Kluyveromyces lactis: one gene and its partners. The main gene of each other region encodes a partner of the protein of the gene in region 3 in a complex. Links are inferred from orthologs where the notes say so. Each region holds a gene or a part of one and is shown on either strand. Other genes may lie near its edges.

Region 1 (2,979 bases), on a different chromosome or scaffold from region 3:
TCTATTATTACGTTCTCTAGCCTTCAAAAGGAAACGAAGAACCGTCTTTGAATCTGGAGTAGGTGTAAGTAGGATTTCTCGATCATGAATCAATTCAATAGCTATTTGTTGAATACCTTCATCGATATTTTTTATTTCATCTATAAGATCACGAATTGATTGAACAATGGTCTGCCTTACGTCTAGTTTGTTATCCTGTATCTTTCTCGTCTTCGTATCAGTCATTGGCTTCTGTAATAGGTTAAACATTGAGGATATCATCGGCTCAGCACTACTCTGTTCCTCCTCTATTTCGTCTCTGATCATTGATAATACACGTCTAACAACATTACCACAAGAGTATTCATATGGCTGTGCTTTCTCCAAATTGTTTCCGAATTTTTTTATTTGTACTATCAGTTCATCAGTAGAGGTCCATCTAATAGCTGAAACATATCTCATCAAGATTTGTAATGTTTCCAACGACGCTTGATAGGATCCTATCACCTGTTTTCTTTTTAGTCTATCAATGAAAGAATCAATCACGACGTTGATATCAGACATCTTAATTTGATTAGTTTGATTTCTTACGGATGATCACAATAGTTGCCTAGCTTTTCTTTCTTATTGTTTCGAACAACTTTTGTTGATGTGATGAGTTTATGTTACATATTTCAAATTTTTTTTTTGTATTTTTATTATGGATATTACCGTACGAAGCATCGTGGAAATGTCAAGCATGAAGAATGAGGACGAACAGTATTCGGTTCAGAGGGCTCAATTAGATACCTATGTACTATATTTACAGATCACCCTCAATTTCGAGCATTTTCTTTTCACAGGCTTGGAAAAGTGCAAGTAAAGGTCCATTCTTTGGGTCTAATGAAAGACCTCTTTCACAGTAAGGTCTCGCCAATTCCACTAGATTTAGCTTAAGTAAACAATCCGTTAACCTTATAAACACTTCTGGCACCACCATACCACAGTTGAGAAGCATCTCAAGATCTTGCCATGCATCTAGATTACGCTGTGAAACCAATTCAAGATCTGTTCTGTTACGTAACATCATGTGTAGCTCTTGAAGTTGAAAAGAAAATGGTTCCCATGGTTTACGAGCCTTATTACGCATATCGACAGCAAGGTCGACTTTTCTGAGAGCATCTGGTATATTCTTGTTCTGTGCTTGTTGCATGCCGGATTGAAACATATTTTTGACCATGTTTGTTGTTTCATTGTTTGGCTGAGGCTGGAAATTTGGGTTTGTTTCCGGTACAAGTGCGGTCGTTAACTTGTTGATTTGATTCAAGTTTGTTAGCCTATCTGTGTTGGAATCATTGTCGATGCTTAGCTGCTTATTGTTACTATCGTACTGAATCATGGTTTTGTTTTTAGCAGTTATAGGAACTGGTGGTGTAGCTCCTGTACTCTGGCCCATATTGATTCTTGTTGAACATGTTAAGTCAAAACAGCTTTTGTATTTTCGAGATAAAGAAATATAGATACTGAGAATGGTGCTATGGATAAAAAATAAATGACCAGGGAAATAGTATCAGAAGCACCAAAATCACCAGTGATAGTATAATTTACTTGACAGCTTAGATTTGAAAATAGTAATACTGTAAACAGCAATTTTTTCCTTGCTTAGAACACCTGGCGTGCAATGGAGAGCCACTTTAAGGTTGATATTCAAACCATCTAAGGAGAAGAGAAATGATGATGTAATTAGAAAAAATATACATGTCATATATTTATATTATACCGAGGTTTTAAGATGATTACAAATCAGCATCATCTTCATCAGGCAATGGCAAAGCAGTGGCTTGTTCCATTTCTTGTTGGTATTGTTGCATCAATTGCTCATCGACTTGGACTTCTGGTGGAGCCAAAGCTGGAGAGGCAACAAAGTCCAATTGTGGGTTACCGGCCAACTTTCTGGCTAACCACAAGAATGGCTTTTCGAAGTTATAGTTGGACTTGGCAGAGATATCGTAGTATTGTAGGTTCTTCTTTCTGTGGAAGGTAATGGTCTTGGCCTTAACTTTTCTTTCCTTGACATCGACCTTGTTACCACACAAAACGATTGGAATGTTTTCACAAACACGAACCAAATCTCTGTGCCAGTTTGGAACGTTCTTGTAGGTGATTCTGGAAGTCACATCAAACATAATGATACCACATTGAGCATTGATATAATAACCATCTCTTAGACCACCGAATTTTTCTTGACCTGCGGTATCCCAGACATCGAATTTGATTTCACCAAAGTTGGTGTAAAAAGCCAAAGGATGCACTTCAACACCGATGGTAGCAATGTACTTCTTCTCGAATTCACCAGTCAAATGTCTCTTGACGAAAGTTGTCTTACCGGTACCACCATCACCGACTAGAACTAGCTTGAAAGTAGGAACTTCAGCAGACATTTTTATTTTATAACTGTATCAGGGTATGTGTGTGCAGTGACTACAGTAAAGTTGCAACAACGGAGTATAATAAATAGCAGTATCTATTCGAAAGTGTCTCAAATCGTAAGCGCAAGAGATGATGATACATAACTAAACTGAATCAAGTATTCAATTTCATTGTTTTAATTTTTTTTTTTTTTCGATTTCTTGCATTTTCCATCAATTTACTAAAAGAGAAATATAAGAAACAGAAAGTGAAGAATCAGTCAGCATAGAATACTTCTGTTGCAACTGGCCTCCCTATAACCAGTACTTGAGAAACACATGGTGATAGCACTTCATATCGAATCGGTTTGATTACGTATCCAATGTATTATTTTACTGTTGTCTGCTCTTCTGCAGGGTCACAATCCTATTTAGGGTAGAAAAGAAATAGGGTAATATCAGGGTAACTGAGATTTGATATCTTCCCAGTCACGTGTGAGTTCGTTCAAAGCTTGGCTTGATGCCTCATGGTGATCTGATTTGTCCACAGTAACCGTTTTACTCGTGGTATCAGGTATTTGTAGCACAAATTTCGTATAGATTGTCTTGTTCA
Region 2 (4,328 bases), on a different chromosome or scaffold from region 3:
CTGGTATTACACTCTCGATTTTAACATTGTTCGCTGTTTCGATCCTGAGATACACAGTTGATTTGAAAATTCCATAGAACTTATAATCCGAAGAAATAATATCTTCAAGAGAGATACAATGACAAGAATTACTGCTAGAAACCAGTACTTTCTGTACGTTGAGAATCAGCAGGTAAGGTATCCATATATAGACAATTGAGAAGATGGGTAGAGCATTGGTTACGATTGATAACGTTTACGCTAACAATTTAGGAACATTCAGAAAGATCATTGATGTTGTGCTACCGGTTCAGTATCCAGGTGAATACTTCGAGGAAGTTGTGGACAAGAATGCGAAAGGAGTATTCTATGCACAGCTAGCATATTACGGGGAAATTGCGATTGGTGCTGTAAAATCCAGATTAATAGCCAATAAGACCGGCGGAGTCAAACCAGCAGGTATGTACATCGAAGTATTGGCCGTACTTGAAGCTTACCGTGGAAAGACAGCTGGTTCATTAATGTTGAAGTATATCGAAGATAAATGTAAGGAAAGCTTTCAACACGATATATACGTGCATGTTGCCACCGACAATGAAACAGCAATAGAATGGTATGAGAAGAATGGCTTTTCCAGGGATGGTGACATTTTGGAAAACTATTACAAGAATACCACTGGATCTAATGATGCATTTGTATATAAGAAGTCAGTATGAATATATATCTACATATGAAAAGCCCTGTCAATTTAGTGATGGTTAATGCGTGCTCAGATAATTTATTAGGAACTGTAAGTAAAAAGTTAATCTGTCTTGGAGGATTTTTCAGTGGTTTCCTCAGTTGCTTCATGTTCATCTTCAGTATCAGTATCTATATCAGTGAAATCAGAGTCCTCTTCTAGATCATCACCATCGGATTCATCAAAGTCTTCGGAGGAATATCCAGTATTTTCTTCGCCTTCATTTCCTGAATCGTCAGAGTCTAGTTCTTCCAATATCTCCTTCTTAGGATCTGTTTCAATTGGAGTATTTTTCACAGTCAATGGAACAGTGAAGTCTAAATCAGAACCAAAGTAATCTGGAGACTTGATAACGACTCTGAAGAAATATGTGCCTTCTTCTTTAGGAGCAGGCTGAGCGAAAGGAATTGAGAAAGTGCCGATGGTCCAGTCTTCAGCGTTAAATTCCTTGTCTAAATCTTTAATAACTCTTTTATCGAAATTGACATCCAAATTTTCTAGGGACAATCTTTGGGCCAAGCTTGGGGTTTGAATTATTTTACCATCCTTTTGTGATACCACTAACGCATACCAGCAAGTACGTCTCTTTGTTGGAAGCAAAGGTGCGAAAGTTTCAGGCAACAATGGTTGTTCCAACAATTTTTCGAAGGGATCCTGTTCCAATAACAATGGATCATCGCCAGCTATTTTTTCAGCTGGGATCAATGAGTTTGGGAAAAGTTTGTGTCTTGGAGAACGAACCAACACTTTAACTTGAATGTGAGGAGTAGAACCTGGTTCTGCGGTATTTAGAGAAGATCCACGAACTTTGAAGGAGCCCTTGACGAGCTTCAACTTAGGAATACGAGACGCTACTTTCAAAGTTTCATTGAGTGCTGTTTCATCTTTTATTCCTAGCATCTTACCTATCTTATCATCTGGGTATGTGAATAATTTACCCAAGGCACAAATATCATCTGTAGTTGAATCCAAGAAATGCTCTTTATCCACGTTTGGTAATTGAAAGATTTGAGAGTGTGGCGATAACGGAGTTGCCTGTACCACTGTCTTATACGTGTCTAACGCCATCAATGCAACTTCAGTGTTCCTAAAAGTGGATGCGATTTCTATCAATTGATGGAAAAGTAACGATGATTTGGTAAGCACATAGTTCCTTGCATATTCGTTTTCAGTCTTTTCACGGTTAACATGGGAATGGATAATGTTAGCGATGTCCACGGAAGACAATTCTGGGAATTTCAATTGGAATTCTTTTGCTTCAGAGATCCATTTAATGATTAAGTCTGGCACAACAACATAAGATGGTTTGAAGTTGAACATTTTGTCAACGAAGTGAGATGCTGTTTCAGAATGAATACCGTGTTTTGTGTACTCTTGCGAAGTGCTCCACCATTTAGAAACTACCATGGGTAACACAAACGCAAGTAGAATGAAATATGCAAAAACAACAAATGGGGAAGTACCTCCTTCCACCAAGAACTTGGGCAAAGCGATACCGTGAGAAGTAGATTGAGGACCATCTGGATGACCATACTTTCTATAATTTTCCTTCGTAATTTCATCAGTTAAAGCCTTATAAGCCTTGTTAATCATCACGAACTGTTCCTCCATAGCCGTTCTTTCAATCTCATTTAGGTCCTTGGAAAGCTTATCGGGATGGAATTTGACAGATAATTTCCTGTATGCAGACTTGATCTCTTTATCGGTAGACGAAAGCGTCACACCAAGTAACTCATATGGATCAAAAGCCGCTGCTGCAATCTGATAGATAGCATCGTTGGAACGAATATGATAAATCAACATCGAAATGAGCACCCAACCAACGGTAATGAAGTAAATTCCCTTCTTGGACCTTTTCTTCTTATTAGCAAGTCTATATTTCCGAACTTCTTCTGAAGTATATTTTTCGTGCAATTGACTCCATTCTGATGAAGAACTCTTATCGCTGGAGTCCCCAACAATCAATCTATACAGCTCAATCAATGTTACCGGTGTAACAGCCACAAATAACACCGTGAGTACGAAAAATGGCCATGTGGTGCTTGCCTCATCGTAATCATAATTCTGCGGCATGGCGTCGTTGTCTGTTCGTCTGCTTGTCTGTTGTAGAACCAAAAGACTGCCAATAAATTAAGCCGCTACAATAAAACACACAGCAGGCAGCAATCAAAAAAAGTGAACCACAGTGTACTATTAAACAAAAAAGCCTTCAAACTGCAAACAATTATTCCTCTGATCTAGAAAAGTAGTTAACAGTTAACTTATTTCGATTTTAATATGCCAGTCTGTATTTTCCAAAAACCTTTGGGTTTTTTTCCTTCTGTTTGAAACACTATACGTATTCAATACGGCAGAGCTTAGAAGAACAAATAGAAGAGAAAGACCAAAAAAAAAAAAGATATTTATACGTCACGTGCTCGTAATATATCACATGACCTTGAATTTTCTGTTTCGATTTGGTCGATCATCTCTTTCTACTAAACTGAAGAATAAAATTAAAAAAAAAAATGCTAAAAACCTAGAAATAATCAAAAAATGTGCTAGTCTCATTGGTAATTGAGATGGGAATAGAGATTGAAAGATGAGGCTCACCGGGTTAACCGATTTGGTTGAGAAAAGTCTTGTGATATAGCGTTACTAGAGTGATGCAAGTTAGTGGTTTTGGTAACGTGAATCAGATTGGTGCTTTGGCACAGCAAAACCAATTGGATAACTTAGTCAGCGTTAGCATTCGTGGATGGACTAACGCTACTCAACAGGATTTGTTGAATTTCATTTCGAGAAAGACCAGGATCTCAGTGAGAAACTCTGTGGTTCAAGGGGACACTATAGTTGGTTATGTGACACCGCAGGAGGCAGATCAATTGGTGAAATTTAGTGGGTACCGGTTTGCAGGCAATTCATTGAAGATTCACAAGGCAGCCGGTGGGAACACAAACCCTAATACGAATGATACGATAACCGTTCTTCGTAATGTGCTTTTGAGAAGATATAATGTGCAAACGAGGATGTTGGATCTTGGTAATTTGTTCAATGATCCGGAGTTGGTGCAACGCGGTATGGCTCCGAAAAATGTTAATACGCAGTCCAAGATGTTCCCGGCTATGATGAAAGTGGCTTCAAAGGAGCCTAGCATGGTTGTTGAATCGATCAACCTATCTGATAATAATTTGAGAGACGTCAATGGTGTTACCACGTTGGCACAGACTTTCCCTCATTTGAAAAACCTATGCATCGCCAATAATAGTATTAGTCGATTCCATTCTCTTGAAGTTTGGAAGAATAAATTCAAAGAGTTGAGGGAGCTTCTGATGATGAATAATCCAATTACATCGGATCGTTTATATCGTACAGAAATGTTAAGGATATTCCCCAAATTGGTGATTCTAGATAACGTTGTCGTTCGTGACGAGCAGAAACTACTGTCTATCTATAGCTTACCGGTACAACAAACCCAGTTCTTTTTCGAAGATAATGGATTGGCATCATCGTCAACAGATTTTATTACCAACTTCTTGAACTTGTGGGATTCGAATAGAATGCAATTGATGGGTTTGTACACTCCACAGTCTCAATTTTCCTTAAGTGTTGATTCTTCCGTTCCAGCTGC
Region 3 (2,979 bases):
ACGAAAGCTCCTGCTAAAGCCCCTGTTAAAACTACTTCACGATCCACTCCAGAACCATCCGCGGATAGTATCAAATATATCGAAGAGCAACGTAGAATCTTGGAAGAAATACAAAACTCTCAAAACAAGTCATCTGCGTCACCTAGCTCCGATTCTTGGTCTACAATTGCTAAAAAGAAGACAAGTTTGGACTCTCCAAGACCAGCCCCTCAGATTAACAACTCATTTTTGAACCCTGGCAACACCAAGAAGAAAATTTTGCACGGCTCTTCAATTTCCATCCCAACTCTGAAAAAGGGTGTTACCTCTTCTCCAATCAATTATTCAGGTAATCAATCCACTTCTGCAAGGAGGCAATTTTTGAGCTGGTGTAGATCTCAAATGAAACTAGCACCTGGTGTTAAAGTGGATTCTGTTTTAGAGATGTTACTCTCTTTACCACCAAGCATGGATTCCAAGGAAATCATCTCTGATACTATCTACGCTAACAGTTCAGTGATGGAAGGTCGTTCCTTTGCATCAGAATTTATTAAAAGACGTATTGAATGCGAGAAATCATTGAATGATCCTTTAACATGGTCAGAAGCTCTTGCTCTTCCACAGGGAAGCGCTGATGATTGGGAATTCCAAGTTGTGAGTAAGAAAAAAGGTAAAAGGAACTAGTCTCTAAAACGTATGGGGTCAGTAGCATCTAGCATTATATTGTTTTTTGTATAGTGTACATAATCTCTAGCAAATACCCAGAGAGAAAACTCAACTGTATCTACGTGGTATCATTACTGAATTAGTTTACCGTTGTCATCCAACTTCAATTGGTATAGTTTTTGGAAAATGTTCTTTCTATCTAAAATGGAATCGTAACGTCTTTGTAAAGCTTGGTTGAAACAGATTTCTCTACATAGATTCACAAATGCTTGGGGCCAATCTGGTTGTAATCTTTCTGCTTCTTCGATGCAACTTTTCAATTCAAGATCAACCAATTTCATTTCGTTTTGGTACCTTTGCCAATACTTATCATCAACGGACCCATTCTTATACAAGATCTCAATTTGAACGGCGACCTCTCTTAATTTAATGGTACGTCTTACAGCTTCTGCACCACGGTTCAACAGAGCAGCTTTAACCACCTTAGGGTGAAGTTGTTCTGTTTCAGCTAATTCTGCAATTGCAAAATATAAATCACGGGCTTCATGTTCATCAAAAATGCTTGGTAATTCAGCTAGTTTCTTGACTTGACTCCTCCTATACTTGGATGCAAAGATCATTAAAGATATTACCAAGATCGAAACATAAACTAACGGTGTGTAAACGCTGACCACCTTGATTTCAGGCTTCTCTTGCCCTTCGAAAAAAGTCTCGTTGAAATGCGTTCCGTTATCTGACATTTTTGTTCTTTTCTTCCAAAGACGATCCTGGAAGGTGTTTCAATTTAAACAACAATCAAATCGATATCTCAACAGGCCACAGTTGACAATTACCACTCAACTTACAACTTTCAGAAGATGGTATGTGTTTAGATATAGATGTTACACTTTTCGTTTTTTTCACTTTTTTCTTATTTTAATACGTATACTGAGTGATGTTGGAATCCTCATTTGACATTAAGCATTTGCAATTCCTAAATCTTTGCCACTATTAGATAAAGAAAGAGCATTGCGAGTTAGAAAGAGTACAAACCTCTACTTTATAGCGGAAAAAAAAGTGCATTATAGAACAAGCGACATTACCATGCTATTAAGATTGAGATCAAAACTTGGTATTCACCGTGTAAGTTGCGAAGGAAATGACAATTTTGGCAGTGTGATTGAAAAATGGGCAAACCAATTAAGACTTAATGTGGATCCTGACTCAGTTTCAGTAAGTACACAACCTGGCGTCTCCAAACTGATGACTGAGATAGCACACCAAGGTGTGGAATCACTTGGCTTGAGACATGGAGACATGGTGACAGTTGAATTCAAGGTTTTGGACACTGAAGAAAAGAATGTTTCGGAGAAGGAAATGACCAATATGACTGTCTCCGCAAGCACAACGAGTGTTCCCATCAGTAGTAGCCACAACAAGGGATCAATAAGAGGCAAAGTCAAGGAATCTGCTTTAGATATAGAACTTGAGGGTGAGACTGGATTGATACCTCGTTCAAGATCATCACTTTGTAGACATGGAGAAAAGGGAATGTGTGAGTATTGCTCGCCATTGCCGCCTTGGGACAAAGGCTATCAAGATGAACACAGCATCAAACACATATCGTTCCATGCGTATTTGAAACAGCTAGACGAGGTTACCAACAAAAAATCCTCCGGTTCATCATACATTCCGCCCCTAAGTGAACCTAACTATGAGATAAATTTGAATTGTGCGGGTGGTCATGAGCCGTGGCCCAAAGGTATCTGCTCCAAATGTCAACCCTCTGCTATTACACTCCAACAGCAATCCTTTAGAATGGTAGACCATGTTGAATTTCAGGAGAGTGAATTGATTAACCAATTCATCGACTCTTGGAGAACCACTGGTATGCAAAGATTTGGTTATTTATACGGTTATTATAAAAGATACGATAACGTTCCATTGGGAATAAAGGCAGTGGTCGAGGCCATATGGGAACCGCCGCAACATGATGAACAAGATGGTCTTACCATGGATATGGACCAAGTCGTTAAAGAGGTAGAGGACACGGATAAACTTGCGCGCGAAATGGGTTTGGAAAGGATAGGTATGATATTCACTGATTTGACGGATACTGGGCTGGGAGATGGATCTGTGTATTGTAAAAGACATAAAGATTCATTTTTCCTCTCGTCACTTGAAGTGATCATGGCTGCTAAGCATCAGTTAAGACACCCCAACGTCAGTAAATTTAGCGAAACAGGATTATTCTCATCGAGGTTCGTAACTTGTTGCATCTCAGGAAATTTGAACCAAGAGATTGATATTGCTACGTACCAAGTAAGCATTGAAGCGGAAGGCTTAGTGGAAGCC

What was found. Proteins that work in one complex are often made in the same cells at the same time.
Region 1: the proteins of SEC66 (region 3) and SEC72 are in contact, whole or in part, in a cryo-EM structure (PDB 7KAO), measured with the Saccharomyces cerevisiae proteins. The link is inferred for Kluyveromyces lactis from reciprocal best matches to the Saccharomyces cerevisiae genes SEC66 and SEC72. Residues at the interface, in NP_009730.3 of Saccharomyces cerevisiae: Ala71, Leu74, Gln77, Ile78, Met81, Ile87, His88, Lys90, Val91, Lys93, Ala94, Ala95, Leu97, Asn98, Trp159, Leu162, Met165, Val166, Glu169, Ile170, Phe172, Asn173, Gln174, Leu176, Ser177, Arg178, Arg179, Tyr180, Gln181, Ile183; in NP_013395.1 of Saccharomyces cerevisiae: Thr3, Leu4, Tyr6, Lys11, Ile13, Asn27, Ile28, Gln30, Ile31, Leu34, Thr35, Leu38, Ile39, Glu41, Pro44, Asn45, Phe46, Pro48, Ile85, Glu86, Gln89, Arg90, Ala93, Pro94, Trp95, Glu96, Phe98, Gln101, Leu102, Leu105.
Region 2: the proteins of SEC66 (region 3) and SEC63 are in contact, whole or in part, in a cryo-EM structure (PDB 6N3Q), measured with the Saccharomyces cerevisiae proteins. The link is inferred for Kluyveromyces lactis from reciprocal best matches to the Saccharomyces cerevisiae genes SEC66 and SEC63. Residues at the interface, in NP_009730.3 of Saccharomyces cerevisiae: Asn69, Lys109, Leu113, Gln116, Ile117, Leu120, Asn123, Gly124, Ser125, Ile126, Gly127, Glu128, Asp129, Tyr130, Arg133, Arg178, Arg179, Ser182, Arg186, Val189, Glu193, Trp194; in NP_014897.1 of Saccharomyces cerevisiae: Gln247, Thr250, Lys251, Lys252, Asn256, Ala259, Ser260, Val263, Val267, Asn268, Tyr269, Lys270, Pro271, Ser272, Glu273, Ile274, Thr276, Ile339, Gly342, Phe343, Arg344, Leu365, Pro367, Thr528.

What each region holds. Positions count from the first base shown.
Region 1 is NC_006039.1:461,903-464,881, forward strand, and holds SEC72 (Sec63 complex subunit SEC72), read right to left. Parts: upstream 1,415-2,979; coding exon 782-1,414; downstream 1-781. Other genes in the region: KLLA0_C05082g (translation initiation factor eIF-2B subunit), read right to left, coding at 1-543; KLLA0_C05126g (Ran family GTP-binding nuclear protein), read right to left, coding at 1,755-2,399; KLLA0_C05148g (uncharacterized protein), read right to left, coding at 2,825-2,979. UniProt on the Saccharomyces cerevisiae protein: Acts as a non-essential component of the Sec62/63 complex which is involved in SRP-independent post-translational translocation across the endoplasmic reticulum (ER) and functions together with the Sec61 complex and KAR2 in a channel-forming translocon complex.
Region 2 is NC_006039.1:847,104-851,431, reverse strand, and holds SEC63 (protein-transporting protein SEC63), read right to left. Parts: upstream 2,792-4,328; coding exon 782-2,791; downstream 1-781. Other genes in the region: peptide alpha-N-acetyltransferase subunit NAT5, read left to right, coding at 204-695; MEX67 (Mex67p), read left to right, coding at 3,364-4,328. UniProt on the Saccharomyces cerevisiae protein: Acts as a component of the Sec62/63 complex which is involved in SRP-independent post-translational translocation across the endoplasmic reticulum (ER) and functions together with the Sec61 complex and KAR2 in a channel-forming translocon complex.
Region 3 is NC_006041.1:2,180,062-2,183,040, forward strand, and holds SEC66 (Sec63 complex subunit SEC66), read right to left. Parts: upstream 1,386-2,979; coding exon 777-1,385; downstream 1-776. Other genes in the region: SMY2 (Smy2p), read left to right, coding at 1-663; NPL4 (nuclear protein localization protein 4), read left to right, coding at 1,729-2,979. UniProt on the Saccharomyces cerevisiae protein: Acts as a component of the Sec62/63 complex which is involved in SRP-independent post-translational translocation across the endoplasmic reticulum (ER) and functions together with the Sec61 complex and KAR2 in a channel-forming translocon complex.